Lepisosteus oculatus: one gene and its partners. The protein of the gene in region 4 purifies or fractionates together with the protein of the main gene of each other region. This does not show direct contact. Links are inferred from orthologs where the notes say so. Each region holds a gene or a part of one and is shown on either strand. Other genes may lie near its edges. The genes, in order: kif22, nuclear cap-binding protein subunit 1, mecp2 and kpna4.

What was found.
Region 1: the proteins of kpna4 (region 4) and kif22 purify together in Homo sapiens (affinity purification with mass spectrometry; 3 studies listed by BioGRID and IntAct, counting the BioPlex papers as one, with this or other methods). This does not show direct contact. The link is inferred for Lepisosteus oculatus from reciprocal best matches to the Homo sapiens genes KPNA4 and KIF22.
Region 2: the proteins of kpna4 (region 4) and nuclear cap-binding protein subunit 1 purify together in Homo sapiens (co-immunoprecipitation; 3 studies listed by BioGRID and IntAct, with this or other methods). This does not show direct contact. The link is inferred for Lepisosteus oculatus from reciprocal best matches to the Homo sapiens genes KPNA4 and NCBP1.
Region 3: the proteins of kpna4 (region 4) and mecp2 purify together in Homo sapiens (affinity purification with mass spectrometry; 3 studies listed by BioGRID and IntAct, counting the BioPlex papers as one, with this or other methods). This does not show direct contact. The link is inferred for Lepisosteus oculatus from reciprocal best matches to the Homo sapiens genes KPNA4 and MECP2.

Annotation. Positions count from the first base shown.
Region 1 is NC_090699.1:2,406,924-2,414,486, forward strand, and holds the start of kif22 (kinesin-like protein KIF22), read left to right. Parts: upstream 1-4,546; 5' UTR 4,547-4,732; intron 4,733-6,310; 5' UTR 6,311-6,316; coding exon 6,317-6,519; intron 6,520-6,717; coding exon 6,718-6,845; intron 6,846-7,477; coding exon 7,478-7,563. UniProt on the Homo sapiens protein: Kinesin family member that is involved in spindle formation and the movements of chromosomes during mitosis and meiosis. Binds to microtubules and to DNA. Plays a role in congression of laterally attached chromosomes in NDC80-depleted cells.
Region 2 is NC_090696.1:29,818,646-29,826,551, forward strand, and holds the start of nuclear cap-binding protein subunit 1, read left to right. Parts: upstream 1-4,904; 5' UTR 4,905-5,081; coding exon 5,082-5,115; intron 5,116-6,088; coding exon 6,089-6,177; intron 6,178-6,593; coding exon 6,594-6,694; intron 6,695-7,906. Other genes in the region: thiosulfate sulfurtransferase/rhodanese-like domain-containing protein 2, read right to left, coding at 305-420, 779-884, 1,650-1,772, 2,179-2,287, 2,493-2,800, 3,571-3,723. UniProt on the Homo sapiens protein: Component of the cap-binding complex (CBC), which binds cotranscriptionally to the 5'-cap of pre-mRNAs and is involved in various processes such as pre-mRNA splicing, translation regulation, nonsense-mediated mRNA decay, RNA-mediated gene silencing (RNAi) by microRNAs (miRNAs) and mRNA export.
Region 3 is NC_090697.1:75,512,617-75,520,091, reverse strand, and holds the start of mecp2 (methyl-CpG-binding protein 2), read left to right. Parts: upstream 1-4,458; 5' UTR 4,459-4,480; coding exon 4,481-4,542; intron 4,543-5,933; coding exon of another isoform or gene 5,934-5,965; intron 5,966-7,475. UniProt on the Homo sapiens protein: Chromosomal protein that binds to methylated DNA. It can bind specifically to a single methyl-CpG pair. It is not influenced by sequences flanking the methyl-CpGs.
Region 4 is NC_090708.1:5,989,302-5,996,508, forward strand, and holds the start of kpna4 (importin subunit alpha-3), read left to right. Parts: upstream 1-4,188; 5' UTR 4,189-4,328; coding exon 4,329-4,397; intron 4,398-6,577; coding exon 6,578-6,622; intron 6,623-6,926; coding exon 6,927-7,016; intron 7,017-7,207. Other genes in the region: UDP-GalNAc:beta-1,3-N-acetylgalactosaminyltransferase 1, read right to left, coding at 1-650. UniProt on the Homo sapiens protein: Functions in nuclear protein import as an adapter protein for nuclear receptor KPNB1. Binds specifically and directly to substrates containing either a simple or bipartite NLS motif.

The DNA of each region.
Region 1 (7,563 bases), on a different chromosome or scaffold from region 4:
CAGACTCACCTGTCTCTCTCCCTCTCCTCCCTCTCTCTCCTCTCCCTCTCCTCCTGCCAGTCCAGACTCACCTGTCTCTCTCCCTCTCCTCCTGCCAGTCCAGACTCACCTGTCTCTCTCCCTCTCCTCCCTCTCTCTCCTCTCCCTCTCCTCCCGCCAGTCCAGACTCACCTGTCTCGCTCCCTCTCCTCCCGCCAGTCCAGACTCACCTGTCTCTCTCCCTCACCTCCCGCCAGTCCAGACTCACCTGTCTCTCTCCCTCTCCTCCTGCCAGTCCAGACTCACCTGTCTCTCTCCCTCTCCTCCCTCTCTCTCCTCTCCCTCTCCTCCCGCCAGTCCAGACTCACCTGTCTCTCTCCCTCTCCTCCCTCTCTCTCCTCTCCCTCTCCTCCTGCCAGTCCAGACTCACCTGTCTCTCTCCCTCTCCTCCTGCCAGTCCAGACTCACCTGTCTCTCTCCCTCTCCTCCCTCTCTCTCCTCTCCCTCTCCTCCTGCCAGTCCAGACTCACCTGTCTCTCTCCCTCTCCTCCCGGCAGTCCAGACTCACCTGGCTCTCTCCCTCTCCTCCTGCCAGTCCAGACTCACCTGTCTCTCTCCCTCTCCTCCCTCTCTTTCCTCTCCCTCTCCTCCTGCCAGTCCAGACTCACCTGTCTCTCTCCCTCTCCTCCTGCCAGTCCAGACTCACCTGTCTCTCTCCCTCTCCTCCTGCCAGTCCAGACTCACCTGTCTCTCTCCCTCTCCTCCCTCTCTCTCCTCTCCCTCTCCTCCTCCGAGTCCTCGCCGTCTCCCTCGGGGGAGCTGCTGTGCTCGGGGGTGGGGGGTCTGCGGGGCAGTGGGGGCAGGCTCAGCTCCAGGACGCCCCCCTGCGCGAGGATGCCGTACAGACGCTTGATCTCCTCTGGAGGGGGTGTCCAGTGCTCCGGGTCCTCGATCTCCTCGTCACTGCAGGGAACCCCCCACTCCTCCTTCTGCACTCTGTCCATCTCTCCACCTGGACCAGAGAGAGAGAGAGAGAGAGAGAGAGAGAGAGAGAGAGAGAGAGAGAGAGAGAGAGAGAGAGAGATTCTTACGCAATAAGAAGGAGGCTCTTCAACATCAACCCACCAACAAGAATCTGGCTCCAAATATTTGAAAGTGTAATCCAACCCATTGCCCTATACGGCAGTGAAGTTTGGGGTCCCCTCACAGACCAGGATTACACCCAATGGGACAAACACCCCACAGAAACTCTGCACATGGAGATCTGTAGAATCATCCTCCGTGTGCAGAGAAAAACTCCTAACAACGGGTGCAGGGCCGAATTAGGCCAGTACCCACTATTGATAAACATACAGAAAAGAATATTAAAGTATTGGCTACACCTAAAAAACAGCGACCAAAATTCCTACCACCACAAAGCCCTGCTCAGCCAAGAGCTGAGCCCAAAACAGAGCCCCCTGAGCCAGCTGGTCCTGAGGCTCACCGACCTGAGCCACACTGACACTAACCAGCCTCAGGACAGCACTGCTAGAGCACCACAACCCAGACTCAACCACATCACAGCACAGATCAAACAGCAATATCTCACACACTGGGACACACACACACAAACACAACATAAACTGGAATGCTACAGAACCTTAAACAGACAATACACACTAGCTGAATATTTGACCAAAATAAAAAATAACAAACAGAAACAGACCCTGACGAAGTACAGGCTCAGTGACCACAACCTGGCCATAGAAACTGGGCGACACAGGCAGACCTGGCTGCCCAGAGAGGACAGGCTGTGCTCCCACTGCCAGCAGGGAGAAATAGAGACAGAGGTGCACTTCCTACTGCACTGTGACAGATACTCTGGGATTAGAGAAACATTCTTCCCGAAATTCAGAAATCTAATCCCCGAGTTCCCACACCTGCCAAAACCACAACAGGTCCCAATCCTACTGGGAGAGGGAGGAGGGAACTCAGTTGATCTGGCAGCCCAGTATGTGATCTCCTGTCCCAGCCTGAGGAACAGTGAGTCCGTCTCCCAATAATGCTCCAGCCGCCTACAGTATATGTCAATATTATATAATATGTCTTTGTTGTAAATGTCTGTAACATGTCTGTAGATTTTATTTTACTTCTATTTTTTGTTTTGTTCTATGTTAATTTTATTATTTTTCTTTGCTTTGGCAACACTGATTGTACCCATCGGTCATGCTAATAAAGCATCTTGAATTGAATTGAATTGAGAGAGAGAGAGAGGGGGGTCACCACACACACAGTCTGGACACTGACACTGCACTGAGAGAGAGAGAGAGAGAGAGAGAGAGAGAGAGAGAGAGAGAGAGAGAGAGAGAGAGAGAGAGAGAGAGAGAGAGAGAGGTCACCACACACACAGTCTGGACACTGACACTGACACTGCACTGAGAGAGAGAGAGAGAGAGAGGTCACCACACACACAGTCTGGACACTGACACTGACACTGCACTGAGAGAGAGAGAGAGAGAGAGAGGTCACCACACACACAGTCTGGACACTGACACTGACACTGCACTGAGAGAGAGAGAGAGAGAGAGAGAGAGAGAGAGAGAGAGAGAGAGAGAGAGAGAGAGAGAGAGAGAGGTCACCACACACACACACTGGACAGAGAGAGAGGTCACCACACACACGCACGCAGCACACAGAACACTTTACCTTTATCTCCGTCCCTCTCTCCCTCTCCCTGCTGGGACTCCCCTGTCTCTCTGACACAATCTTCATCTTCCTCCTCCAGCTCTTCCTGCTCCTCTTTCTCCTCCTCTCCTCCGTCCTCAGCCTGCGCTGCTCTCTCTGGTCGCTCTCGCTCCCCAACACCCAGAGACTGGATCCCCTCTCTGAGGCAGGAGTCCGAGGACTCTGCAGACTGCATGAGTCTGAGAGAGAGAGGGGTTAATACAGACACTCCAGTACATGAACACTGCACTGAGAGAGAGAGGGGTTAATACACACACACTGACTGGACACTCCAGTACATTAACACTGCACTGAGAGAGAGAGGGGTTAATACAGATACACTGACTGGACACTCCAGTACATTAACACTGCACTGAGAGAGAGAGGGGTTAATACACACACACTGACTGGACACTCCAGTACATGAACACTGCACTGAGAGAGAGAGGGGTTAATACAGACACACACTGACTGGACATTCCAGTACATTAACACTGCACTGAGAGAGAGGGGGGTTAATACACACACACTGACTGGACACTCCAGTACATTAACACTGCACTGAGAGAGAGGGGGGTTCATACAGACACACTGACTGGACACTCCAGTACATTAACACTTCACTGAGAGAGAGAGAGAGAGAGAGAGAGAGGGGTTAATACAGACACACTGACTGGACACTCCAGTACATTAACACTGCACTGAGAGAGAGGGGTTAATACAGACACACTGACTGGACACTCCAGTACATTAACACTTCACTGAGAGAGAGAGAGAGAGAGAGAGGGGTTAATACAGACACACTGACTGGACACTCCAGTACATTAACACTGCACTGAGAGAGAGGGGTTCATACAGACACACTGACTGGACACTCCAGTACATGAACACTGCACTGAGAGAGAGAGGGGTTCATACAGACACACTGACTGGACACTCCAGTACATTAACACTGCACTGAGAGAGAGAGGGGTTCATACACACACACTGACTGGACACTCCAGTACATTAACACTGCACTGAGAGAGAGAGGGGTTCATACACACACACTGACTGGACACTCCAGTACATTAACACTGCACTGAGAGAGAGAGGGGTTAATACAGACACACTGACTGGACACTCCAGTACATTAACACTGCACTGAGAGAGAGAGGGGTTCATACACACACACTGACTGGACACTCCAGTACATTAACACTGCACTGAGAGAGAGGGGTTCATACACACACACTGACTGGACACTCCAGTACATTAACACTGCACTGAGAGAGAGAGGGGTTCATACAGACACACTGATATTTACCGTTCTCTATCTTCCAAGTACTAAAACAGCGCCGAAGACACTGAGTTGAAGACAAACATGGGACGAGAACTCCAGAGATGGTGATGGCGCAGGATACGATAAATCGACAGTGTTACAACAGGTGAAATTCATGGGTCAATTCAACCCGCCGCGAAGAACGTTTCCAACCTTCGGCGCCTAGTATCCACTGTAAACAAAGCGCCATCTTGGGCCACTTCCTCTTCCGGTTTCCGTCTGTCGTTCCTCTACTTCCGGCCCAGACGTGCGCTCACTCGCTCAATCCCGATTGGCCCGGTTGGTTAAAGACTCTTGTGATTGGTCTCCTTTGAAAGTTGGGTGGGCTCTTATGTCGTGGACGCTACTGCCTCAGCGATTTCACAGATCCGCGACCAATCACAGTCTAAGCCTTCCCGACGCCCCAGCCAAGCACAGCCCCCGGGTCTCTTTCTAACCCCGCCCACTGGAGGTGGCATCTTCATCGCCTCACCCAATCGCAGCTCGCCCTCCTTTCGCTTGCGTGACGTCAGGCCCTTCGGCGGGCGCTGATTGGTGGGATCGCCTGCCGCGAGGCCCCGAGCCCGCAGGTTTGAAAATCCTGTAACGGCCCGTGTTTGTGTGCGGCCCGCGGAGCCGCGCTGTGTCCGGTTTTTCTCTGTGTTTCTCCTGGGTTCATTTCACCTCCTCCACCCGTACCTGTACCCGAGGGACTGAAGCCACGCCGGGAGAGTTTGGAGCCGAGGTTCGGTAAGAGGCCGGCCGGTTCCGATCCGGGGTCGGGGTCGGGGAGTGAATTTCGGTGACCGGGCCGGGCCGGAGGATGAATTCACTCCGAGAAACTGCTTTATTTCTTCTTTTGGGGTTTCTTATTCTTATTTCTTCTTATTTTGGAGTATCTTTATTTCTATGTGGCTTTTTTTTTTGAGAAAAGGGGCTTCTCGGAGCGCTTTAGGGAACAACGGCAAAACAAACAAAACAAGAAACCCGCTCTGAGCCGGTGTCCGTCCGGCGCAGTCACACACACCCTGCACAGAGCAGGACTGAGGTCACACCCCTCAGGCCGGGGGGCTCTCTGGTACCCCTGGGGTACAGCAGGAGAAGCCCCTGCCACCCCCAGAGTGAAGACAGTCTTGGGGGACAGACAGGAGAGCAGAATTAGACGATGTGGATGAGCTCAGGCTGGGGGGCTCTCTGACACCCCTGGGGATACAGCTCCTGAGTGTTGGGGCGCAGCAGGAGAAGCCCCTGTCACCCCCAGAGTGTAGACAGTCTTGGGGGACAGACAGGAGAGCAGAATTAGACGATGTGAACGAGCTCAGGCTGGGGGGCTCTCTGACACCCCTGGGGATACAGCTCCTGAGTGTTGGGGCGCAGCAGGAGACGCCCCTGTCACCCCCAGAGTGTCGACAGTCTTGGGGGACAGACAGGAGAGCAGAATTAGACGATGTGGAAGAGCTCAGGCTGGGGGGCTCTCTGATACCCCTGGGGATACAGCTCCTGAGTGTTGGGGTGCAGCAGGAGAAGTCCCTGTCACCCCCAGAGTGTCGACAGTCTTGGGGGACAGACAGGAGAGCAGAATTAGACGATGTGGACAAGCTCAGGCTGGGGGGCTCTCTGACATCCCTGGGGATACAGCTCCTGAGTGTTGGGGTGCAGCAGGAGAAGTCCCTGTCACCCCCAGAGTGTCGACAGTCTTGGGGGACAGACAGGAGAGCAGAATTAGACGATGTGGACGAGCTCAGGCTGGGGGGCTCTCTGACACCCCTGGGGATACAGCTCCTGGGGTTCGGGGGCGCAGCAGGAGAAGCCCACACTCTGAGAGCAGGCTCAGAGGAGTGGGGGCGCAGGACGAGAGCAGCTCAGACAGGTACTGAGGCGTTGAGCCGTGCAGAGTCTTACAGGTGAGCAGGAGGATCTGGGCCTGGACATGAAACCAGACAGGAAGCCAGTGCAGGGGCTCCAGGACAGGAGTGATGGGATCGCCTGCACTGGACCCGGACAGGACTCTGGACAGACTGGGGTTTGTTCAGGGTGGATTCAGAAACCCCCAGCGAGTGGAGTGTTACAGTGGTCAGTTCTAGTGTTGACCAGTAACGGTTAACGTCGGGCAATATTTCTGAGTGGAAGAAGGAGGTTTTTACCCTCGTGCCCTCGTGCTCGCGCGCACAGGCTCGCGCAAACGTGCCCTCGTGCTCACACAAACATGCACTTGTGTACACTTGTGCCCTCGCCCTGTAGACTGACTGGGTCACAACCGCGGTCCGGTCCGGCCCGGTCTGCCGCTCTGGCGAAGGCATGCCCTCAGCGCCCCTCTCCCCTCCCCAGGTCGCCATGGCGCTGCCTCAGAGGGTTGCCGCGGGCGAGGCGGGGGCGTCACGGCGCCCCCCCCCTGCCCGCCTGCGGGTGGCCGTGCGCCTGCGCCCCTTCATGTCCGCAGAGGACGAGAAGAAAGAGGGGCCGTGTGTGAGGGCTGCTGGGACACAGGGCCTGGAGATCGTCAACTGGAGGAACACGAACGAGACGCTGCACTACCAGTGAGTCCGAGAGAGAGAGACGGGAGCTGTCTGTGTGTCTGTGTGTCTGTGTGTCTGTGTGTCTGTGTGTCTGTGTGTCTGTGTGTCTGTGTGTCTGTGTGTCTGTGTGTCTGTGTGTCTGTGTGTCTTGTGTGTGCCTTGTGTGTCTGTGTGTGTGACAGAGACAGGGGCCACCCCTGACGCTCAGCTCTGCTGCAGGTTTGACATTCTCCACGGGGACAGGAGCTCTCAGCAGGAGGTCTACCTCTCCTCCGTCAGGCCTGTGCTCCCCTTCCTGCTGGCCGGACAGAACGCCAGCGTCTTCGCCTACGGGCCCACGGGGGCAGGTCAGTGTGTGTCTCCTGTCCCCCAGTCCCTCTGTACCCCTCTCCTGCTGCCCTGACCCCTGACCCCCTGTCTTTCCCTCTGCTGCTTCCCTGACCCCTGTCTCCCCCTCTCCTGCTGTCCTGTCTCTCTTCACCCCCAAACCCCCTCTCCTGCTGCCCTGACCCCTGACCCCCTGTCTCTCCCTCTGCTGCTTCCCTGACCCCTGTCTCCCCCTCTCCTGCTGTCCTGTCTCTCTTCACCCCCAAACCCCCTCTCCTGCTGCCCTGACCCCTGACCCCCTGTCTCTCCCTCTGCTGCTTCCCTGACCCCTGACCCCCTGTCTCCCCCTCTCCTGCTGTCCTGTCTCTCTTCACCCCCAAACCCCCTCTCCTGCTGCCCTGACCCCTGACCCCCTGTCTCTCCCTCTGCTGCTTCCCTGACCCCTGACCCCCTGTCTCCCCCTCTCCTGCTGTCCTGTCTCTCTTCACCCCCAAACCCCCTCTCCTGCTGCCCTGACCCCTGACCCCCTGTCTCTCCCTCTCCTGCTGTCCTGTCTCTCTTCACCCCCAAACCCCCTCTCCTGCTGCCCTGACCCCTGACCCCCCTCTCCTGGTGTCCTGTCTCTCTGACCCCTGACCCCTGACCCCTGCAGGGAAGACCCACACCATGCTGGGCAGCGCTGAGCAGCCTGGGATCATCCCGCGAGCCGTCAGGGAGCTCTTCCAGCTGGTCCGCGAG
Region 2 (7,906 bases), on a different chromosome or scaffold from region 4:
AGAGAAAACATGGACACTTCAAAGTATTGTGAAGGGCTTGTCAATATCCTAAGAATTATATTTACAAAATAGTTTCTGCTAAGACATGGTACAATCTGTCAAAATGCTGCTGAGGAAAACTCAAGTTTATAGCCTAAATAGAAGACAGTAATTTCTGAATTCTAAATTAGGATGTAATGTTGAATGGTTCGAGTACAATTTGGTACATCTTGACCTTTATTTAAAACACTAGATTTCCAACAAGTTGAAAGCAAAACAAGTATTTAGTAGAAACTAGATCTGAAACCTGCAGTTGAATACTCACTATTTTGCTCTCATAAAAGTTCCTGCAGTCCAACAAAATCGTGTCATTGCAAGATTCATATTTAGATAAAAAAGCTTCAACTTCCTTGTGAAACTCCTTTGGTTCTAAGTGGGTTCCTGCACAAAAATGAACACAGATTCAGAATAAAAAAAAAAATTTTACTCCCATTTTACATCCATAAATAGATACACTGCATTCACAAAGGATAAATAGATTTAGAAAAAAGGCTGTATGTTATATACATGTGTATATAATTGTATGTTGGTACAATTAACACAAAGCTTAAATAGCAATGAAACTTTTAAAGATGATCTTTGGCGTCTAGATCTAGAGATATTTGTTTAAACCAAATTTAAACCAAAATTCTAATGTATCTGCGAACAAGACTAGACAGCAAAAACATTTTTTTCTTTTTATATTTAAGGAGACAATAAATCTTGTCACCTTATAATAGCTGTATTTTAATATACTTACCGGCAAGCCTATAAGAGAGTATGTCTGGGTCCACCCCCATGGGGACTATTTCTTTAAACACTCCCACCTTCAGGTCCGGGAAGCAGTGAGCCCCACCCTCACTGGTCTGTCAAGGCACACAGTGTAACCTGGCACATGAGTGGTGAAATACTTGCTGACAAAAAACATCTAGGGCTCTTAACTTTGCAGGTAAAGAGGTCTTAAGGTCCATTGGTGCAAACAAGATGACACCCTTTGCCATAACAAATGGGTCTGATGGTGCAAATAAAGGCCCTTGTGCTTAAGAGGTCTCCAAATTCAATCATTTCAAAGCTTACCGCATAAGAATTAAGACAACCCAAATGCAAAAACCTTTGAAGAGCATATAACAGTTGAACATTTTTCATTTATGTACATTTCCGTTCTTGCTAAAATGCATGGTGAATATAAAAACATAGTTTTAAAAATAAATAATTGTTTCAGCTATTAAACCATGGGATGGATGAGAGCAGATGCTTACATCTCTGTAATAGCGATAAATAGTGAAAATGGATAATCAACATTTCGTGTAGTGTCAATTAAATTATATTTTACTCAATAATATTGATTTAAAATGTCATATATCCTGAGATGTTAAAAAAAACCTGCACAGAACACTGAGAAAACAGTGAATGCCTTTTTAGTCTAAATTAAACCCATTTGAGAGTGTGACTTGGCCTTACACCAGTTAAGTAATTCATCAATTAATTCACCACATGGAAACGTGTCCAGTTTCATATAAAAAGAACTGTGATTACAACCTTATCCCAGTTCTTTATCACCCTAAGATATGTTTTCACTCAATAAGCACATCATTAGAGGAGAAGTAGAAAACAAATTGATATCTTCTTACCTTGAAATCATCCAGGCACATGATTTTGAACACTGGGTGGGAAAGCATTGCCTTAATATATAATCCGGTAGCCACTTTGCTGCCTCCTACTGTTCCATTAATTCCTTCTGTGGCAACTCGAATCTACAGACAAATATAGACGTATGGACTTTGTATGAAAACAAACAGCAATGGCTTTGGGGTGTCAAAGGAGATGACTGAACGAGTGGGACCTGATCTAGTTATCTTGCAGTGAGGGCGCTCGGGATTTTTTCCTAATTACATCACAGAAGTGAATGAAATTTTTTGTGTCGCTTAACAGCCTTGAATGGTAGAAATAAAGGCACTTACAAGTTTAGAACTGGTAGGAAAAGGCACAGGACCAACATACACATACATATAGAGAACAACAAACACTACAGTACAGACTGAAGACAGTACTGAGTGAATTCAAGACCTGATCTCTTGGTATCTTCCTACCTTTGAACTATATCACCTTTGAACTGTGATATATTTTTATAGTGCTTACCCACCTGAACTATCTTCCTACCTTGCCTTTTAGGTGCAATTTTTGGCACAGTGCCTTCTGCCAAGCACAGATTAGGTGGGGTCCCTCCACTTCGCAATAGCAGTAATACAGCAGCACTTCACCTGGTCCCCTGGCCAGAAATAGGGGACAGAACCATGAAAATTCAATATATTCACAAACCAGAGTGACATTTTCACACTGTTTCATTATAACTGCAACAATCCAGACTCACCACCATGCAATAGTGTACGTCTTTCATGTTTTGTAAAACAAATTGGGCTTTTGAACTGTGATATATTTTTATAGTGCTTAAGAACAGAACCAAACATCTTTACCCATCAAGCTCTGCCTCGTTTAAGTAACTGATGTCCGGAAGCCAGAGCTGCATGTCCATTACTTCCACTGCCGCAGGTTGGGCTGACGTGTTGCACTCTTTCACATTGCCTCTGCTCCCCAGGAGCGTCAGTATGGCCTTTGTGTGTTCCTGAATCTCCAAATCATGTGCCCTGGCAACGTGCTTGTGGATGGAAGCAGGATCCTTGAAGGTTTGGTCGCAACACTGCCAGTGCTTGTCTGACTGAGCAGAACGCGAATCTGAACCAGATGCTGAAACTTTCTTCGAGTCCACAAAAGTGGCAAATGCCTTCAAAGAAAAATCACTCAAGTCACCCGTGTTGCATTTACTCGGATACGTCCTCACAGTGAGCATTCAAGCCTGCTCTTTACCACCATTTGCTTTGCTCAATGGAAAATATAATAATAATTACTACTTATGCGTGAGCTTAACAGTCTGTCAGTATGTTACTACATAACATGTTAAAACGTACAGTAAAACCACTTCAATTCAAATGAATTTTGTGTCCAAATCACTATATTCTCTCAACTTGCCATAAAAAACCTACGTCGCTGTGCATACAGTGAGCCAGTGTAGTCACAGAGGGGCGGTACATGAGGTCACTCGATCTCAGCAGCTCCAGAAAGGGCTTCAGTAAACTCTGTCATTATAGTTCTGTGACACTCCCTTGGTCATGGTAAAAAATGTTCTATCAATTCTTTGTGATTAAGTTTGCTAGTACAAGTGATCATGGAAATTACTGGATCCTTATTACCATTTTCTTAAATCAAGAAAACAAATTCTTCAATACTCAAGGGTTTAATATTCAAATATAAAATGATAATCTATTATGAAATGAATTTGTACAGCGACCTGTGTAGCTTTAAAGATGGAAGCTGCACATTGGTGGTGGTAGAGGAGAGTCCCCATTACCTGTAAAGAACTTGAGTGGAGTGTCCAGAAATGTTTTATATAAAATGTAAGAAATTATGAATTATTATGATAAAGATAAAAACAAAAAAGATCTCCCTTCCACACTAAGCAGTAAACCTGAAACCCACCATAAGTGAACATCTTACCCTTTTCTTTGCGTATGGAAACATTTTACGTAAGCTAGCTTCATTTGGGGCTTTTGAGATATTTGGAGTTTTGTTGGTAAAGTTCTCATCATCGAGCTCAGAAAACAACAGAGTGCCAGGTTCATCTTCAAGAATACCAGAGGCTGAAGACATTTTTGATGTTCAAATGGTCTCTTCAGCCTCCTGTAAGAGACAAGAGGAAGGTGAACAGAATTGCTGTTAGAACAGAAATAAAGATATTGCTTTGCCATGTAATAAGCCAAACCAGTCTATGTTAGAAAGGATTACATAAATCTGTGGATTTAATTAACATTCATTAAAAACAGATCACAATTTTAAAGAACTTAAGAAAACACAACCACAAAAAACACAACATCTAAAACATTATAAACAATAAAGCAATAACTTCGAATCTATAAAAAAGTAGTATTTTATTTAGCGCATAATTGTTGTTTCAGTTAATATAAACTGCGGGTAATTATCTGCACTGATTCTGGTTACAATATAATTCTTAATGCTAAGGGTTCCTTCTAAAAACAGCTTCTAAAAAGACATCCAAGATGACTTTCATGAAAGATAAAGGGCAATGGAACTGCAGCCTAAAAGTGAAACTGAATACCAAGAGAAAAGAATAAACAAATGTAAACCAGTAATTTATCCATTTATCCTGAAAGAACGGCACAAGGTAGGACTGAGAACACATCACAGGACCAGGTGTACAACACAGAAATTTCCAACAATTTACGTTTCCTCAACGTGTAAAAACGTTGCGTATAAATATAAATTATGAAACTTCGATTTTCAGTGTGCTTAACTTACTTTTCACGTTAACACATTGCAGAGCATCGTGTTTACTGAGGGGGTATCGTTTATTTTTATGTCTAACTTTGCACGTGTGAAGCACATATAATCAGAGACGGCAAAAAACCCAGAATCAGCTGTTTTATAATACCCTAATTATTCCGGGTCTTTTAGCCCAGAGTTCTCCATATAGTCTGTTCGTAGTACTTGATTCACATTAGATTAAGACAATATTTTTTCTGCCACCATACCACAAAACTACACATCTGTGTGTACACCATGCAACTACTCTCACTAATACAACTAAAATCTCGTAATCATCGTTTTACATCCTCTTTCACGTCTCGTCAGTTTTTAAAAAGGTAACCGAACAGAAAGAAATTGCAAAAGTTATAAAAACTCGTCACACCTTACAGCGTCAGCTCCTACGGAGGACAAATGGCATTACACGCCACTTTACTTGAACCAGGGAAGTGTTTCCTGTGACAGGCCGCCTGTCCTCCGGATGAGATTGTGTTCAACTTCAGCGCCATATTGCGGCGTTTGAGGCTGTGTGTGTGTGTAAGGAGCTGTTGTTTCTAGAGGCGTGTGGAGCGTTTTAACCTAGGCGGATTTCGCGCTGCAAGTACAAGATCAAGACGTTTGAATAAGGGGACCGACTGAACTCTGTTACATCTTTAGAGGATTTACCTTTATAATTAAATTAAAAAATGTCAAGGAGGCGGCACAGTGATGAGAATGATGGTAGGTGGTTTTTGTATTAGTTTTGCAATTGAGGCACTGTCCACTTTTGATACATGGCTGTCCACTATCGATCGATGTGCTGTGAAATTTTGTTGACGTCTCACCAAAGAAAGTGATGCAAAGCAGTTTTTAATTGAGAAAATCGTTATCGGTTATGATATGGCCGGTAATAAAATAAGCCTCGCTATTTTAGTAGGAAGTGAAAAAATAAGCAGAATGCCCATTTTTCCCATTTGGAGCGGTTAAATCGAACTTTGTAAAAGTTAATTGCTGTCTTTCTGATAATGTAATAATAAACTTATGAATTATTCATTTATAGTCGTGTGGAAATAGGTGCATAGAGATCAAAGCTACCGCTCATTCATTTAGGGTGCTTGAATACTTTCTATGGCAGATGTAATGTTTGATTCAAATGTTGCACTTCTGAGCGGGCTTTTTTCTTCCTGCAATACATTAGCTACTCCAAATAGCCCACAAATTACAGTTATCTGTATAGCATATGTATGAACATAAATACGGAAAACATTTGATAATGCAGAGTAGATTGAATGTTGCACATAGACTGTAGGCTACAGCTTTGTTTTCCTTGTGTGTCTAGTAACCAGGGACCGTAAGTAACTTTAAATTAACATGAGTTTTAAAATAATATATTTTTGAGAAGAATACATAAAGTTGTATGATGATTTAAACCACCTTTAATTGTTCTATTACATTTTCTTTTCCTTGTAATTTAAAAATAATTGCCTTGAGTAACATTTTGGCTCATTAAGTTTTTTCCCCCCCTTAGGTTAGCATTGCAATTAGAGCTTAAGTAATCTAACTGGGTCTTCTTGATATAATACAAAATTCTTCAGTTCAGATTTCTCTTGAGATTCTTTCTCCAAGGCAATCTATGTTCTCCTCGCTTTCTTTGAGCATATGCAACTTAGAATGTTGATAAGCATAATGTTTCATATAGTGCTCTTTCTAATAGGAGGGCAACCTCATAAACGGAGAAGAACATCAGAACCCATTGAAATCGAAGATCGTCTTGAGTCACTAATATGCAGAGTAGGCGAAAAGGTAATTTTTACACTTTTTTACAATTGAAATAACACTTTTAATTAATTAAGCTGGTAGTCGTACCATTTACTAATCACAAACTGGGCTTGTTTTTATCTGATAATTTACTTTCTTAAAACATGTTAACCTTTCTTTTCAAAATACTGCCTGCTCACAAGTTGAATGTCGTGGTATTTAAGAATATGGATTTACTGCATTTCCAAGCTTTTGTGAAGCGCTTCCTTACAGCATTGTGTGCATATTGCAGTGTTGTGTATATAACGTTTAGTGGAAACCTGAACTCGATGATCTAGTTAAAGTGTTCTCTGATATATTAGCACACCTAGCCTGTATGTTGCAAAGTGGCAGGTTTTTCAGCAAATCTAACATGGGATTGGATTTGTATCATAACTGTGCTTGAATGTGCCCATCCTTAGAGTACGTCTTCATTGGAAAGCAACTTAGAGGGCCTGGCAGGCGTCCTGGAGGCTGACCTTCCAAATTACAAGAGCAAAATTCTGCGTATCCTATGTGCTGTGTAAGTGTTGCCCTTTGTGTTTTAATTTAAACTTCCATACCTGTGTTTGTGTACTTAAAACATCTCACTGGACACTTTAGATATGCATATACAATATAACTTTGATATTCACAAGGTTTTGCAAAGTACTACATTCACAATTTGGCAGATAAACTAGTCACTAATAAATATCTGCATTTGTGTGGATGAACTTTATTACAGTAAAGTAGTGCTGTATTTATAATAGTAATAAAAACTGTAAAAAAAGGGAAGAAGATACGCTTTATTAAGAATGACAGAAACACTAATGCAGATTAGTTCAGGTGGGTAGCTGCGTCAGCATGTGTAGGCTGCAAAGGAACAAGTAATAGGTTTATTCCATGCTGAAAGAAGAAGAAAGAGAACACAACGTTTCGGCCGTGGAGCCTTCTTTGGGTGTGAGCCTTCTTCACACCTGAAGAAGGCTCCACGGCCAAAACGTTGTGTTTTCTTTCTTCTCTTTTCAGTGTGGAATAAACCTATTACTAATACAGAGTAAGCTGTAATGGTGATCTAATTTATTTGTTTACATTTGCAACAACTTGAAAACAATTTAGTTTACAGTTCATTTTCATTAAATACTTTTTACCGGTAGGTGCTGGCACTATTTCTGAAATTCTTAAGTTAAAAAAAAAACATTACTACAGAAATCCTCTTTTGACACGCTTCGCTGTCCTGTTTTCTCCATTAGGTGTTGCATTCCACATTCGCAAAATCATCATTCTTAGAGTCTTCAGTGTACCTAATGCTCATAAATACTGAGGTTTTGTTGTATGCTATACATATGTTAACAAAAATTTGTTAGATGGCTGAATTGCCTCCTTTCCTTCCTAATCTATCCTTATGTTCAAAGGATAATGGACTTGGATATCAAGGGGTAGATTTTCTTGACAGGCACGTATAACTTTATTGAGAAAGTTGATAGTTATTTTTATTCAGCTAGATTTCATAGCACTACATTTAGGTTTGATAAAGCAACCAGTGAAACGCTAACCCCAAAAACTCATAGGAAAAAATAATAAGTTTAGGGCATAAGATTAGATTGGCTAAATCCTGGAAATGTCTTTCTCAAAAACACTCAGAATCAAGTATGATCAATTTGCATTTTGTTGCAATTTGACAAGCTTTCATGTATGTCTCTGTGTAGGTGTTCTATGTTTAATGCTATGTATTGAGCCTGTTGTTTTATTATTA
Region 3 (7,475 bases), on a different chromosome or scaffold from region 4:
CCACTGAGAGCTGCTGTGTGGGGAGAGGACTGGTGCACTATGGCTGCCGTCGCATCATCATTCTGGAGTGTCCAGAAAAGCGCTATAAAAGTATCAGGAATTATTTTCCGCTCAAAGCTGGGCTCTGGTAGGTGACTTAAAGCATCGAAAAGTGTATCCTGCCCTCTGGTGGACGTTACGGGGAACAGCAGGAGGAGTGATGTTTTTTTTTTTCCTTAGCGCTCATTTAATACGAGACCCGTATTGGAACAGTTGGGGAATTTGTAACGAATACGCGTTGCCTTCATTTGCAGTCACAGGAAACCATGAGCTATTTCAGTATTAATGGGAGCTCACATGGTGGTCGTCTAGAATGATTAAAGTTTCAGCGTTTTCATTTTGAATCTAAAGTAAATCGTTAGAGTAAATGCGTCACACGGTACAGGCAAGGAAATCAGACCCCCATTGCTCAGTAACCAGATCCACCTCAGGCCCCTGCAGTATCAGGAACTTGTGCTCATCCCACACCACGCTTCCCCACTTGCTTTGAGCACATTACAAAAACCGAAGGACCGGACCACGTGCGCATGCTTTTCAAACTACAAACAGGAGGCACTTCTTTACACGAAGAGTGGTGGAGGTCTGGTGCAAGCTACCCAGCCATGATGCGGAAGCCACAATTTTCTTTTTCTAGCAGGGAACAGCGGGGTGAGATGCTGGGATCGGTTAGCTACTAAACTACTGAGCTGGCTTGACGAGCCCAGTGTTTCCTCTCGTTTGTAAAAAAAAAACTATTTTCTGCTCTGCTACAGAACCAGGACCTTTTATTCGCCCAGTACAAGATAGACAAGGAATTTCTCTGGGCGCAGGCGTCGACATCAGTTCCAATAAGATAAAAGAGTAACAAAAAAGCAATCCACAGGTAAAGACAGATTTCAGTGATGTAGACAATTTAAAAGTCTATGCAGTTGATTAATACAGTGTACAGTGAATGCTGTGTATATTTACAGAAAGTATCAGTAGCGTGTGTCGTTAAATGAAAGAGTCATGGCCGGGGGGAGACACCATGCAGCTGTCGGTTAGTCCTGGTTTTTAGGGGTCCCCAGTGGTCTCTGCGGAGAGGGAACACGCTGGAAGAGAGAGGGGCCGGGGTGTGAGGGGTCGTCCTGGACAAGTACACAGCTCCTCGGCAGCTCGCCGTGATCGTCTAGTGCTCAGCACTCTGTGTTGTGGCCTCAACGACCCCGGGTCGAATCCGGGCCACGGCAGGTGTGAACCTGGCACAGCAGAGGAGTTCTCTTCGGGGCCGAGCGGCGGCTCTGTGGCTGAGGATCTGTGGCTGGAAGGTTGCCGGTTCAAATCCCGCGGCTGGCACAGGAATCCTACTCCATTGGGCCCCTGAGCCAGGCCCTTCACCCCAACTGCTCCAGGGGTGCCGTATAAATGGCTGACCCTGCGCTCTGACCCCCAGCTTCTCTCCCTTGTCTGTGTGTCTCATGGAGAGCAAGCTGGGGTCTGTGAAAAGACAAATTCCTAATGCAAGAAATTGCATACGACCAATAAAGTGATCTTATCTTATCTTAACTGCTGTGCAACAGGACTCTGAGCTCTCTCCCTGTCGCAAGAACACGAGGATCACCGGAGAGGTGGAGAGTGACAGGAGAAACAGCCAAGCAGGAACTCTGACCCCTCTAGAGAAGACAGTCCACCTCCAACTGGCTACAGAGGGCCCAACCACACAGCCTGTCTCCCTCGCGGAGCCCAGCTTTGGTCCTGCAGAGCCACAGTCCGACTGGCTGCCCTTCAATCAGCAGCTTGGCAGAGGACCGGTGTGTGTCACCATCACCCTACCAAGCGTAGAGGGTCAGTTAGTTCAGGAATGGGCAGATTCCTTGGTCCAGACAAAGTGGAGTATTTTTAAAGGACACCCAGAAAACCGGCTGGACTGTGGCTCTCTGTCCCGGCCACAGAACAGGCAGATGAATTCAGGAGAGGAAACAGGTTTCAGCACTTCTCACATCTGAACTGTTGGCAGTTCTAAGGGCGTTAGCGTCAGAGCAGGCACTTTTATTCAAAATGACTCATTAACAACCATTCTTGTCTAGGCACAGTTACGGCAGTTACAGTTAAACTGCTACAGGAATATAAAAAAACAACACAAACGAAACATCACAGACGACATCGCTCAGGGTTGCAGAAACTGCTGCTTTAAGGGTGACCATGCTGGACACTTGCTGGACAGGCCCAGGGCTGGCTGTGCTTGCTCTCGTTGGGACAGCCGTTCTGCTGTGATTGGACCCGACTGGACCCGCGCTCAGCGTTGAAGCGTGAGACAGACCTCCCAGAAGCTGCAGAAGGAAACGAGGCCTCCGGCGCCGGAAAAGGGAGGGACCGTTGTGCACGAGGACAGGGTCTGGAATTTCACATCCCAAGACGGCAGGTGAGGCCCGGATCAGTCCGCTCTCAGGTTCAGCTGCCCGTGTGAACAGAACAAAGCCCACTGCGTCTTTCAGAGATCTGAGCGATGTCGCATCAGTGTGTCTGCAGTGGTGTCCAGTCCTGGTCCAGGAGGGTCGGTCAGTGTGTCTGCAGTGATGTCCAGTCCTGGTCCTGCAGGGTCGGTCAGTGTGTCTGTAGGTGTTCCAGGTCTCCTTAAAGCAGCAGCACCAGCAGACTGACCAGCCCTCCGGGGGAAGGGGAGGACCGGTCTGGTCTGGTCTGGTCCAGTCCGGTCCGACTGAATCAAACGTCGCCCCTCCTGCCTGCAGTGTAACAGCATGTCTCATCGCTCTCCTGCCTTGAATTCCTTAATTCCCAGTCCACCTGCGTCTCCTGCAGGAGAGCCTCAGTCTTGGAGCGGCTCGGTTTAGGGGTCTCTGGGGTCTGCCACAGGTCCCCAAAATTCCCCTCCCCCCCGCTCTCTGCCTCTGGACCATTAAGGGGGAACCATCCATACTGTGGAAAAACGAGTGATTAGACTCGACCCCCCAAAACACAGAAGGCAGAAAAGCACCAGTGTGTGCTAGCCCCATGGGAACAGCATAAAATACCGAGAGCCCTCCCTTGAAATACCCAAAGTATATCATGAGGAACCCTGTCTAACTTTAGAGTGACACTTTAGGATAACCTTGACCAATCATGGCCTCCTTATAACCCCCCTCTCTGGACTGGCTTCATCACTCTGCTCTCCTCCCCACTGAGAGCTGGTGTGTGGGGGGAGGACTGGAGCATCATCCAGGTGGGGCTGCACACTGGTGGGGGTGGAGGGGATCCCCATTACCTGTACAGCGCTTTGAGTGGAGTGTCCAGAAAAGCGCTATAGAAGTGTAAGGAATTGTTATTAATCATTATGGATTTCACGGCGCCGGTGGCATACAGTACCCTGCTCGGACACCTCAGGTGCATTTTCATTCGATTTTATTGGAATGAACCAGCGAGCAGCGGTGTTTGGGCTCAGAAGGATTCTCTGCATTCGTCTGCATCACAGTCGACGCAGATTTGCGGTGTTTTCTGTACGCTGACACTGAAGGCACAAGCGGCTGTAGTCCCCTCGGAAAACGACCCACGACTGATCTACAGGCTCCTGCCCCACACCTCGGGGCAGTTTCCCGGAGAGCCTGTGTCTCGCTGTCGAGCCGCTTTCGCAGGGAGACGTGGAAGCCAGCAGGTGCTTTTCCCCTTCCATCAAACACTATCTGGGAAAATAATGCGCTAAACTACTCTTTTATTTATTTTAAAGTGTTTTTGACCCATACCGTCGTACAAGTCAACAAGAAAGTAACCTGTTTTATTTTATTTATTTTACTATAGCTACTTTACTTGCGTTCAAATCTACGTATTCTATTGCACAAGACGAGCTTCATCGCCAGCACAGCGGCCAGACTACCGCTGGACCGTGGTGGAAGACGTGCACAGGCGCGGAACAACTACACCTGCGCGCCGCAAGAGTTTCAGGAAACACCCAGCCTGCAAGAGAGCACAGACCCAAAGTGAAACTGCTGCGGCTGACCCGTTTTCAGAGCTGCGACAGTTCATGCTGCTGCGTTAGAAACAGTTTTCGCGGAAACGCGGCAGGATTTCTTCTTTTTGCGTCGTCTCGTCGGGACGCCCCTCTTTGGCTGCTGAAGGGCAGGGCAGCGCTGTCCCGTCCCCCCCCACCCTGAATTAAAAATGCCAGTTGAGCTAACGAACGATGTAATTAAATAAAAACCTGGTCTTTTCCTCGCCACCTCTGACCCTCATTCATTCCGAAAGCCGCGGCGACCGGACACACGAGGCGGCTGAACCCTCTCTCTCGCGCGCGCGCTGCAGGAGCTCGCGGCGACTCCCTCGCGTCCTCCGCGTGCGGGCCGCCTGGGATGGGCGTTCACTTCTGGTTTTTTTTTTTTTAAACGCTAACGGCCACTCCGCCGACCTGCCGCCGGTAGTTTCGAGAGAGAAAAAACACACACCTCGTTTTAATTTTCCTTTTAATCGTCCCACGCCCCCCGCCGCCGCGACAATGAGCCTTGCCTCGGGTACCGGTCCAATACGCCTCGTTCACCTCGAGGTGGGAGTGAAAGGGTAAGTTTATCCGTCGTATTTTTTATTTTTTTCCTGGGCGCTTTGGTATACTTTTCGAAAGGAGGAATTGGCCGGAGTTTTCCCACGTTCGTATTTTCAGCGAATAAAAAATCCCCCCCCCAAAAAAAAAAGTTATTTTCGAGGTTTGAAACCTGCCAGGTATCACTGCGGTAGGCGAAACACTCAACTCTTTTAACGCGGAGACTCAACTGTTCACGGGCGAGCTTCAGTTTATCGCTGTAAATTCCTTTAAAATCGGGGGGAAAACCCCCACAAAGACATACAATTCTGAATCTCCGTTTCGCACTTAAAGATGCTCGGTAATCACTTTTGTACAGCAATACGTTTTTTTCCGCTTTCTTAGCTTTGCTAGCTATTCAGTTTCAGTTTGGCTGTAAGCAGTCCGTACCGCCTGGGTCGTTTAGGAGATGAATGCGCTCCGGTGTCGGGATACACATTTTTATTGGCAAAAATGCGTCGCCGTTCACAATAACGTTGTCATTGTTCTGTACATGTTCAGTATAAGTCTAATGAACGGATGTCTTCAAAACCGTTTATCTGCGTTACTCAGAAAGCATTTAACACCATCTCCCTAAGCTGAAACAGTTTCACATGATTTCAAAAAGGGAGTATCCTGTGAATAATTCAACTCCTTTACCTCCTATGTATAAACAGAAGAATGTGAATACATGTTAGGGTTTCCTGTTGAGGATTTCTTTAAAACTTAGTTTGCGCCATTTCTCAAGTTTTACAATTAGCTTTTAGATTCACCGCTGAAATATGGAGCGACATTGTTCACTCTAGGTGTATAAAGTTTTCCCGCGGTTGTAATTTTAAATCGTACAAGGAAACAAAATAATAAACCTGCTACCTTTTCCGATAGACCATGAGTACTCATTCAAAAACTCGGGAATAATGAACCAACGACTGAGCTGAGTAAAAGCCAATCAGTTCGGGTTTTAGTGGACTTTCAAACGAAGAAGCTGCGCTCCAGACACCGCTGATGTTTGGACGGATCCGTTTCTTCGACCAATCGGAGCTGACTGGCATTTTTTTTAACCTATCAGCGCCTAGATAAGGCAATTGAGTGATTTTCTGGCAAGCCAATGACATTCACCGTAGATGAGTGTCGTTTCTCGTAGCCAATCAACGGCAGGACTTGGTCGTTGGGGGCGGGCTACTCCGGGGATCCTTTTCAGCGAGAGATTTTTGACTTCGCAGTTGCCATAGAGTTCTCGCGGGAACTCCGGGCCCCAGCCTGTAGTTTCCTATGGGCTAGATGGTGTAATCTCGCGAGAGCTACACTCACCGATGGGAGGGTGATGTGGGGAGGGGGGGGCTTCCAAAAGATGTGTAGTGAATTTTTTTATTTATTTATTTAAATATAAAAAATGGCCGCCGCAGAGAGCGGAGAGGAGAGACTGTAAGTGTGAATTAAAAATATTTCTCCCTGTGTCTTTTTAGATAAACGAGAAAGCAGTGGAGTCGTACAATGTGCACTATACAATTCTCTGTTTTAAAGAATTGCATATCTTCTTTGCTCACGGAAGGCGGGGTAAATACCCCATTAAAGGGGAGTATTTTCACCCGCTTTTTCATCTCAGTGGGGTGAGAAAATCAGTATTTGCGCGATTAGTACAGGGAAGAGGTGTGTGTGTTTATATGTGGTTATTTTTTATGTGTCTGTGAACTCAGTCCTGCATTGTTACGAATATTATTTTGCTTTATTGGTGTAGATTTCTACTTAATGCATTATTTTCCTAACTGCATCCCCACCCCCTTTGTAAGTAGAATTTAAAACACAGCTTTCTGTCTGTTTGGCTCTGAAAAGAAGTACACGGGAAGGACCGTGTTTTGATTTTCCTTTCCGTGCTGGTAACACTTTGAATAAAGGGTATGGGTGAGCTACTGGGCAGCTTTTCTCTGCGTATCAGAAAGTCCTGTGTGATTCGGCACCCTCACACAATGCGTATAAATAATGAACTTTTTGGATTTGAAAATGACACGCGATTAAATATGAGTCAAGATTGGTATTTTTTAACATGCAGCTGGGTGGTGTTTGTGTCGATGTTGACCGTTTTATAGGCAAGAAAAATGAAAGTGTATTTTGATTCCTGAACGTGTGTTCGTTTATGTGTATGGAGTGTGTTTTTTTCCTCCCTTGAAAAAGACCAGACTGGTGCACACGAGTCGATTATTACGTACAGCACAGATTAGATATATTTTAAACATTTAGACGAATCTATTGTTACAGTTGTCGGCACTGAAAGTTTTGTTTTAACAAGCTGTGTTTCTTAGAATTGGAAAAAGACACCTCTAGCTTCTCAAATACACTGAACAGGCTTGTTGCGTCATTTGTTATGCTAGGGGAAAAAACACTGGAGGTTAACATCTTTCTGCTATTAGCATTTCCGTTTCAAATCCGTGCTGTGTGCGATACAAATCCACGCGTATTTTTGTGTTTTAACCAGAAAAATGAAACGGCAGTTTCTGTCCTTGGAGGGGCTTAGATGGGCTTGGAACGATCCATCTGTCTGAACTGTGCAGTGTGTGATTTAACATTTTGCCACGACCAAAAAAAAAAAACACACAAATGCCCTTGTTTTTAAACTGAGAAATTTCAACTCGAAACGTCTAGGGAATAATTTTATGCGACATATCGAAGTGTGGTTTTGCTGATTATTGCTAAGAAACGCGGATGTGAGAGGTTTTATTGTCAGGATGCGGGATAAATACACCGGTGTACTTAGCATTTCAGCTCGAGTGGCGCCGCACACAGCCGTCTTCAAAGTGCGTCATTGTGTAGAAAGACGGTCATATTTTTGGGAAATGTTTTGTAAGGGGTGGGGGAAAAAGACGTGTTTGTGAAATATTATTTTTTCATTTCATATCTAAGAATTGTTCTTTTTTTAATTCACAGCCCTGCTCCTAAT
Region 4 (7,207 bases):
CTTCTGCTTCTGTAGGGGTAGCTGTGAACAAAAGGAAAGCCTGTATACAATCCCCCTGAACTATACCTGGTCTTCAGAAGAAACTGAACCAGGTTGATGACGTTAATAAAAACATCTGTGTCTGTTTTCATAATATACTGAGCGCGGGGACAGAATTCATACATCCAGTGGAAGGCCATCCTTGTTTTCAATGTAAGGTTTTCGTATGTGTCTAGAAAGTCTTGCATGATCAAATCCCTGAAAAGAAAATGCTCCTCTTCCAGTGATAACCGTGGCTTAACCGCTGTCTCCTTTTCTCTACCCAGTAAAAATAACGTTAGAATATATTTCCCCTGCAAATATCTCTTACTGCCCCAGGAAGCTCTGATGGCCATTCTGTGCTCTACTCTGCCTGGTGTGGACGCAACGAAAATGACCAGAAAGGGAACTTTGTGTTTACACATAGAAATCTTAGGCAGCAGAAAGGGTAAACAGGGCCTTCTGACTGGTTCGCTTTCGTAAAAATACAGCCAGTTGATTCCCTGGTTTAAAGCCTTGTTGCTGGAATAGGTGGTGTTTGAGGCCAGACTTCGGTTTATAATTAACAACATCAACGTAAGCATAGTAAAAATGAGTCCAAGAAACAACGTTTTAAGAAACATGTGTTTCATTGCATTGATTCAGACTCGGTTAGTTTTTTTTAAGCGAAAATCCATGTTGCCCTGCGGCGGACTGCTGAACCAGTCCAGGTCCAGAGGTGTATTCTGCCTTGCTCCCGCTGCTTGCCGGGATAGGCTCCAGCTCCCCTGCGACCCTGTGTTGGATAAGGCGGTTAGAAAACGATTGGATGAATGGAAAATAAATGGTAATATATGAAGTTTCTACCTTATGTTTGCTCGCATCTTCAGTGCATATATAATCTGGAAACGATCAAAATAAAACTGAACTATTAATCTGCTTTAATACATAGTTTTAAATAGAGTGAGAAAGGTAATCTTGTGTATCTCCCGATCGTTTTACACAATGGGACATTACACGTGGAAATCCAAGCTAAATGTTATTCCACATTTTGCAATAAATGCATCTCAGTAATGAAGATGCAGAGATATGGCACGCCGACTTAAACCATTACTTTCTGATTTCGGCCTTTACTATAAGTTATCATATCTCGAAGGCTATACTTTTGTGTAAAAGCAAGATAATTCAATTTTGACAGGAAATACCCTCGTTTGATAGTTGAACAATACAAAGGCTTTCAGAACTTTTATACAATTAAAAAAAAGATACGTATGTGGGTGAAAAAAATGTTTTCTCCATGCCTATATTCTATATTTTTACATCTGTATCTTTGAAATTTACCTTTTAAGAAAGCAGGGAGAAAGCAGAACGCTCGGGACGCTTTTAAATAGAAATAATGAGATTTTTCCAAGAGGATCAGCCACCCAAAAAGATTGCATCTACCCTGGTCAAAGTATGCACGTACAGTAAACGTAATGAAGATTAGGGGGAATGCCAATAAATTTAGAAAGTAAACAAAACGACCAGAACGAAAATGACGTCTTAGCTACAGTACAGTTTTTAACTTACCATCTGCAAACCTGAAAAAGATCTTGGAAAGCTGAAGGAATCTTCTCGATTCGTCTCCCGCAATGGTATCCAAAGAGACGATTTGAATATCGCGTAGATTTTTTTAAATGAAGAAATTAATATATTTAAAAGCCTAAAACGCTGACACCAGTTACAAAAATTTGCATTTTCTAAGGTATCAAAGGGGTTTTCAGCGAAATTCATTTAGAAGTATTTGACTTTCTAGCTTACGTAAAAGAAAGAGTTAAAGAATTTAAAACAATTCAAGTCAAGTAAAAGAGATGCAAGTGTTTTTTTAGATTAGCATCTGATGTAGTCATATAATCGTATTGATTCTTCGTGTAAGGTTTCGCCTACACTTGACGGCGTACATGTACCTCCTATTCTTGGTAACGCAATAACAGGTGAGTCTGCGCTTGTGAAAGGAGGTTCCCGCAGCGGGGTGTGGATTTGTGAAACAGGTTAGGGCAGCCTTAACGTACAGTACAATTTACAACTAGGCTGTATGCTTCGTAAACCATATCAGTCTCGTATACTGTGGCGACGTGTGACTATAGGTGGTCTCAATTCGGAGCAATTTGGACTTTTTGGTCGTATCTTGAATTGTAAAATCATCGTCAGCAGCCACATCACCCTGCAACCCACAACTGGCAACCCACTGAAGCTAAGCAGGTGTGAGCCTGGTCCTGGATGGGAGACCTCCCGGGAAAAGAATAGGGGTGTAACCCCGGCGTCCTGGCCAAATTTCCCATTGGCCCTTACCAATCATGCCCTCCTAATAAGCCCCCTCTGGCGCACTATGGCTGCTGTCGCATCATCCAGGTGGATGCTGCACATTGGAGGTGGTGGAGGGGAGTCCCCATTACCTGTAAAGCGCTTTGAGTGGAGTGTCCAGAAAAGCGCTATGTAAGTGTGAGCTATTATTATTGTTAATTGTCCCTTCAAAACTGGGACATCCTCGAATAATAAGGTTTTGGATACAAGCTGTATTTTGACAGCTTTGAATTGATTCCCAAACTGCAGGACAAGCGAGGATGCACACCTCCTGTCGACAGGTCCTTGGCACGCACCTCTCCATCCCTGGATTAGGCTTGTAATAGACCCTGACAGCGAATTCGTGTCGAATGGGATGCTCATTGGACGCGTTATTACGGGCGCCCGCTCCGAGTGGCCAGAAAGTAAAGCGCATCGTCACTGCGAGCGCACGTAGTCGGGTTTCCAAGCGGGGTCGGCGATGGGCCTCGGTGGACCCCAGTCACAGAAAGCTGGCAGTGTTTCTGAGCTCCAACAGTCTGAAGCATATTTGAGGTGCGATTCTACACGATTTAATTCCAGGTAATGTGAAACTGATGAACAAATTGAAATAAGATTGATTCCAGTAGACATGAATATTACTGATGTCCGGGTCATATTTTGCCTAATTCTCAGGTTTTACTTTAACAGTACCCTCACATTCATAAAAATACATCAACTCTTTACCTAAGACGCACCTCCTCAGTGACCTATTTATGCCACAAGAGGACACTTTCATCTCTAAATTGTTACAAGAATTCTGTTTTTTTTTTAATTATAAGAAACTGCATATATAATAACAACTTCTACATTCAGATCAAAACAGTCGCACATGTATTTTGGAATCTGTGCAATAGACTAATGGATGTGGACATGAAAAGTATTTTACACAAAAGTGTGAACTACAATTATCGTTTCAAAGTCTCTAACAGGAAGGAAAATGCTTCATATATATATTGCAAAAAGCTGAATGCTTTATTAAATAAAAATATTTACAGATACAAAAGCAAATGCTGCTAATTGTTGGTTAATTAATTTAATAATTCAGAAGGGGAATAACAGAGCTGTCAGGATATGTTCCAGCAAAACACCAAATTGAACAGAATTTCTATTGTAACGCTTACGGCCGACAAGCACTGTGTGTAAGATCACCGCCCTTCCCTGTGATAGCAGGACCACAGCTACTGGGCTGTGGAGAGATCTCTCTTTAGCTCACAGGGCTAGGTCGCTGCAGAGAGACACGGAAGTCCCGGGTTCGAGCCTCCAGTCGGGATGGGGCCGACCAGATGCGGCAAGGGCGCCCGCCGGAGCCCCCGTTGCGTTACAATATATTCAATAGGATATTCAATAGGAAGATCAATAATAATCAAATGTTTCTAATCATAGAACTGCTAATAAGCTATAATACCACTTCATTATAAACTTAATATTTATGCATTTAATGACATTTAAAAATGCTACAAGGTACCATGCAAGGTATCATATCATGACATCAACACTAACAGCCTATTTTACTACATTATTCCTGTTACAGTCTGGTGCATTGCAGCATAGTTTCTTTGAGGAAAAGGCCGATTCGAATACTAATTTTAATTCGTATTTTTATGTACCCTATAAAACACGTAGCTATATGTAGCTCGTATGCCTTTTTTTTATATCCATGAAAACCAAAGTGCAAGCTGGAATTTATTGCGCTTTATTGTAATTACCGCTGACGAGCGCGTCTCCGAGCACGCGTATTGAAATTAAATTTCCCTCGCTCGCCGACCAATCCGTGACGACAAAGGCCCGCCCCTCCTCCGCCGCGGCCAGAGCGAGGCTGGGCCTGTACCGGCATTCCCACAACCCCCTGCGAGGAAGCCAGAGAAAAGAGTCCGGTAACTGGAGGGGCTGAGAGAAAAGAAACACACGAAAGAGATACGTCGCCCAAATCATAGTAATTACAAATACATATTTTTTTTTCCCCCAACATGGCCGACAACGAGAAACTGGATAATCAGCGGCTGAAGAATTTCAAAAACAAGGGCCGGGATTTGGAGGTATTTGTTTTCTTCTTGACTTTTTCGGTGTGCCTCTCTCTCTCTCTTTTTGGCGAGTCTGTGTGTGTTATTTTGTTTCAGGTTCCGCTGTGACGTCTTTAGTAATTTCCAGGATCTCGAAGTTTGCACCCAGCCCAAGCCAGGCCCCAGCTCCCTGCGGCTTCGACCGAGGCCTAATTCAGCCCCAGCGCTGGGCAGATCGCTCCCTGCCCAGCACGCAAAACTTCGGGGCAGGGATTCAGGGGCTGGGAGGCAGGCCAGGCCGGGGCTCGCTTACTGGGCTCCGCAAACGCCTTTGTTTTTTTTTTATGACTGGAAGAAGCTGGGTATGGTGGTGTGCTGCTCTACCCCCGAAGCTTATTCCGGGGCTGTTGGGAGCTTCTCTGCTAAAGCGAAAGTGTTACTTGGTGCGTCTTTTGTGGAGTTGATTTTTTTTTCCCTTCCTTCTCTCCGCGTGGTTGGAGTTGTTTGGATGTGGCGAAACACGAACAACGATTGATCTAACCCACAAAACTTCCCAAACGTCTGTTTCTAGATCTCTTAAAAAAATAATTCCACGGCGTTCTAGTCTGCAGTCCTTCGTTACCACCCAAGTTAAGAAATATTACGTTCTGGGTAACGTTCTTATTTTTGTTTCCTTTTCTAAAGTCGATATTATATAGCATTGAAAATTGGAAGTCATGTGCTTCTTTTTCCAAAACTTAAAGGAAATCTCTTGAGAACGTGAACTATCTGGTAGATGTTACATAATACTAAGCGGCCCAACACGTCCTAACGTGAGAAAAGAGACGAAGTCTTTCTTTTTTTTCATCTGGTAAAGCAGTTTCCTTGTTGACGCATCAGGCTTTACTTCTGGATCAGACTCCAACATTTGGACTTTTAAATTTTGGTCTTCTGTACTTAATAATGCAAAGGAACATACACAGATCTGTACGGAGGCATGAATATAATGTTCAGACCTTTGTCAGTTTTGGCCAAAACGTCCAATAGTCTGAGCGGACTGTATTTCTACATATATAGGACCATTTAAGATTCTGTGAAGTTCATCATTTCACTTTCCTTAATTGCCACTCAGCCACCCTTTTCATAAAAAAGAAATGAATATAGCTGTGCTGCACCTTTTGTTTTTTTATTTTATAAAGCAATTAAAATGATTGAGGACCATACTCTAAAACATGAGCCATCTAAGCATCTGTATTTGTATTCATTTAGGTTGTTCTACCATTTATTTAAAATTTGACATGCTGTTGCAGGTCTTTATACTTGATTTAAAATGTCTGAGTGTCCCACCCTACATTAATCACCATTAGGATTTCTGAAGATATTTCATGCTTTCAAGCACATCATTTTTCTTCTTTCCTATTAATTCTAGTCTTGGGATAGTGAAATAAAGTGCCCCACCCCTTTTCTGTAAAACATAAACCTGAATCCAGTGCGTTACTGTTAACATCATAGGGATCCACAGTCATGGAGCCGAACTCAAAGTAATAAAATCAGTATCAGTGCTGGCCAGTTGTGAAGTCATACTGAAGGTTTTAGAAATGTCTTGAATGTTACTGTGCTTTTGTGTGCTCAGTGCTGTCCTGTGCCTTGTGGATTAAATTCCAGAGGCGTGTGAGGGATTTCTAAGCTTAAGCCCTGAGTGAACTGCCCCTTCCTGCTACATTACTCACTGCATATGGTATGAAATTGGCTAACTGTGTTACGCTGAAATGCTGTCACATTGCACAGTAAACCATTGTTAAATCCTGGACTCTCTCCAGTGGGCTGTTTTTTTTTAATGAAGAAGGTTTTTTAACCTGAAGAAGGCTCCACGGCCGAAACGTTGTGTTCTCTTTCTTCTTTTTTTCAGCATGGAATAAACCTATTACTTGTTCCTTTGCAGCCTACGCATGCTGACGCAGCTACCCACCTGTTTTTTAATGTTGTCACACTTGATAACCATGTTGTCCTGTACTGTTCTCTGGGTGTGTCACTGAGGTATCACAAGTATTCAAAATGTACAAGGGTGGGAGGTCATTTTAATACTTCATTGCATACTAGAAGCTCCTTTCATCATTTCCAAAAAGTTGTATGTAACTGTTGGAGTGACTACATTTGTCTTAGTAGTCCCTCTGAGAATGTCAGATCTTTCAGATGAGTAGAATATTAAATGTTTTTGTATTTTCCCCCTTATCCAGACAATGAGAAGACAGAGGAATGAGGTGGTTGTGGAACTTCGCAAGGTATTGATTTTCTGATTCATCAGAAGTTTCGTAGTAGCCCTTAACTTTTACAATGTTCATTTGTAATCTAATTGTTTTGGATATGCAATGACGTGTAACTTTTGAATTGGAGATTTGTTTATTAAAATGTGAATGTAATGTTTAGTAACTTTAAAAGTTGAAAGGTATTACTGTCTGTTGAACTCAGTAAGAGCTCAGGCTATATTCTAAAAATGCACAAAATCTGTATGCATTTGAAATTCATTCAATCAAAACTCACAAGCTTTTTTTGTCATTTGTTGTTACTGACACATCTGATTCATAGAATAAGAGAGATGAACACTTACTGAAAAGGAGAAATGTCCCTCATGAAGATATTTGTGATGACTCTGATGTAGATGGCGATTACAGAGTGGTAAGGATTGCTGTTGGTGTCTTCCATGTAAAAGTAAATAGTTTTTCAAAAACTGAAAATGCTAAACTGGTTGCATTCATTACAAACAATTGCTACCCAACTCATTGTGGTGTACCAGTTTTAATTTATTTTAAGCATGTAATTTAATATTTTCATTTTTATTCAATTCTGCATTGGGTCATTTGTTCCAA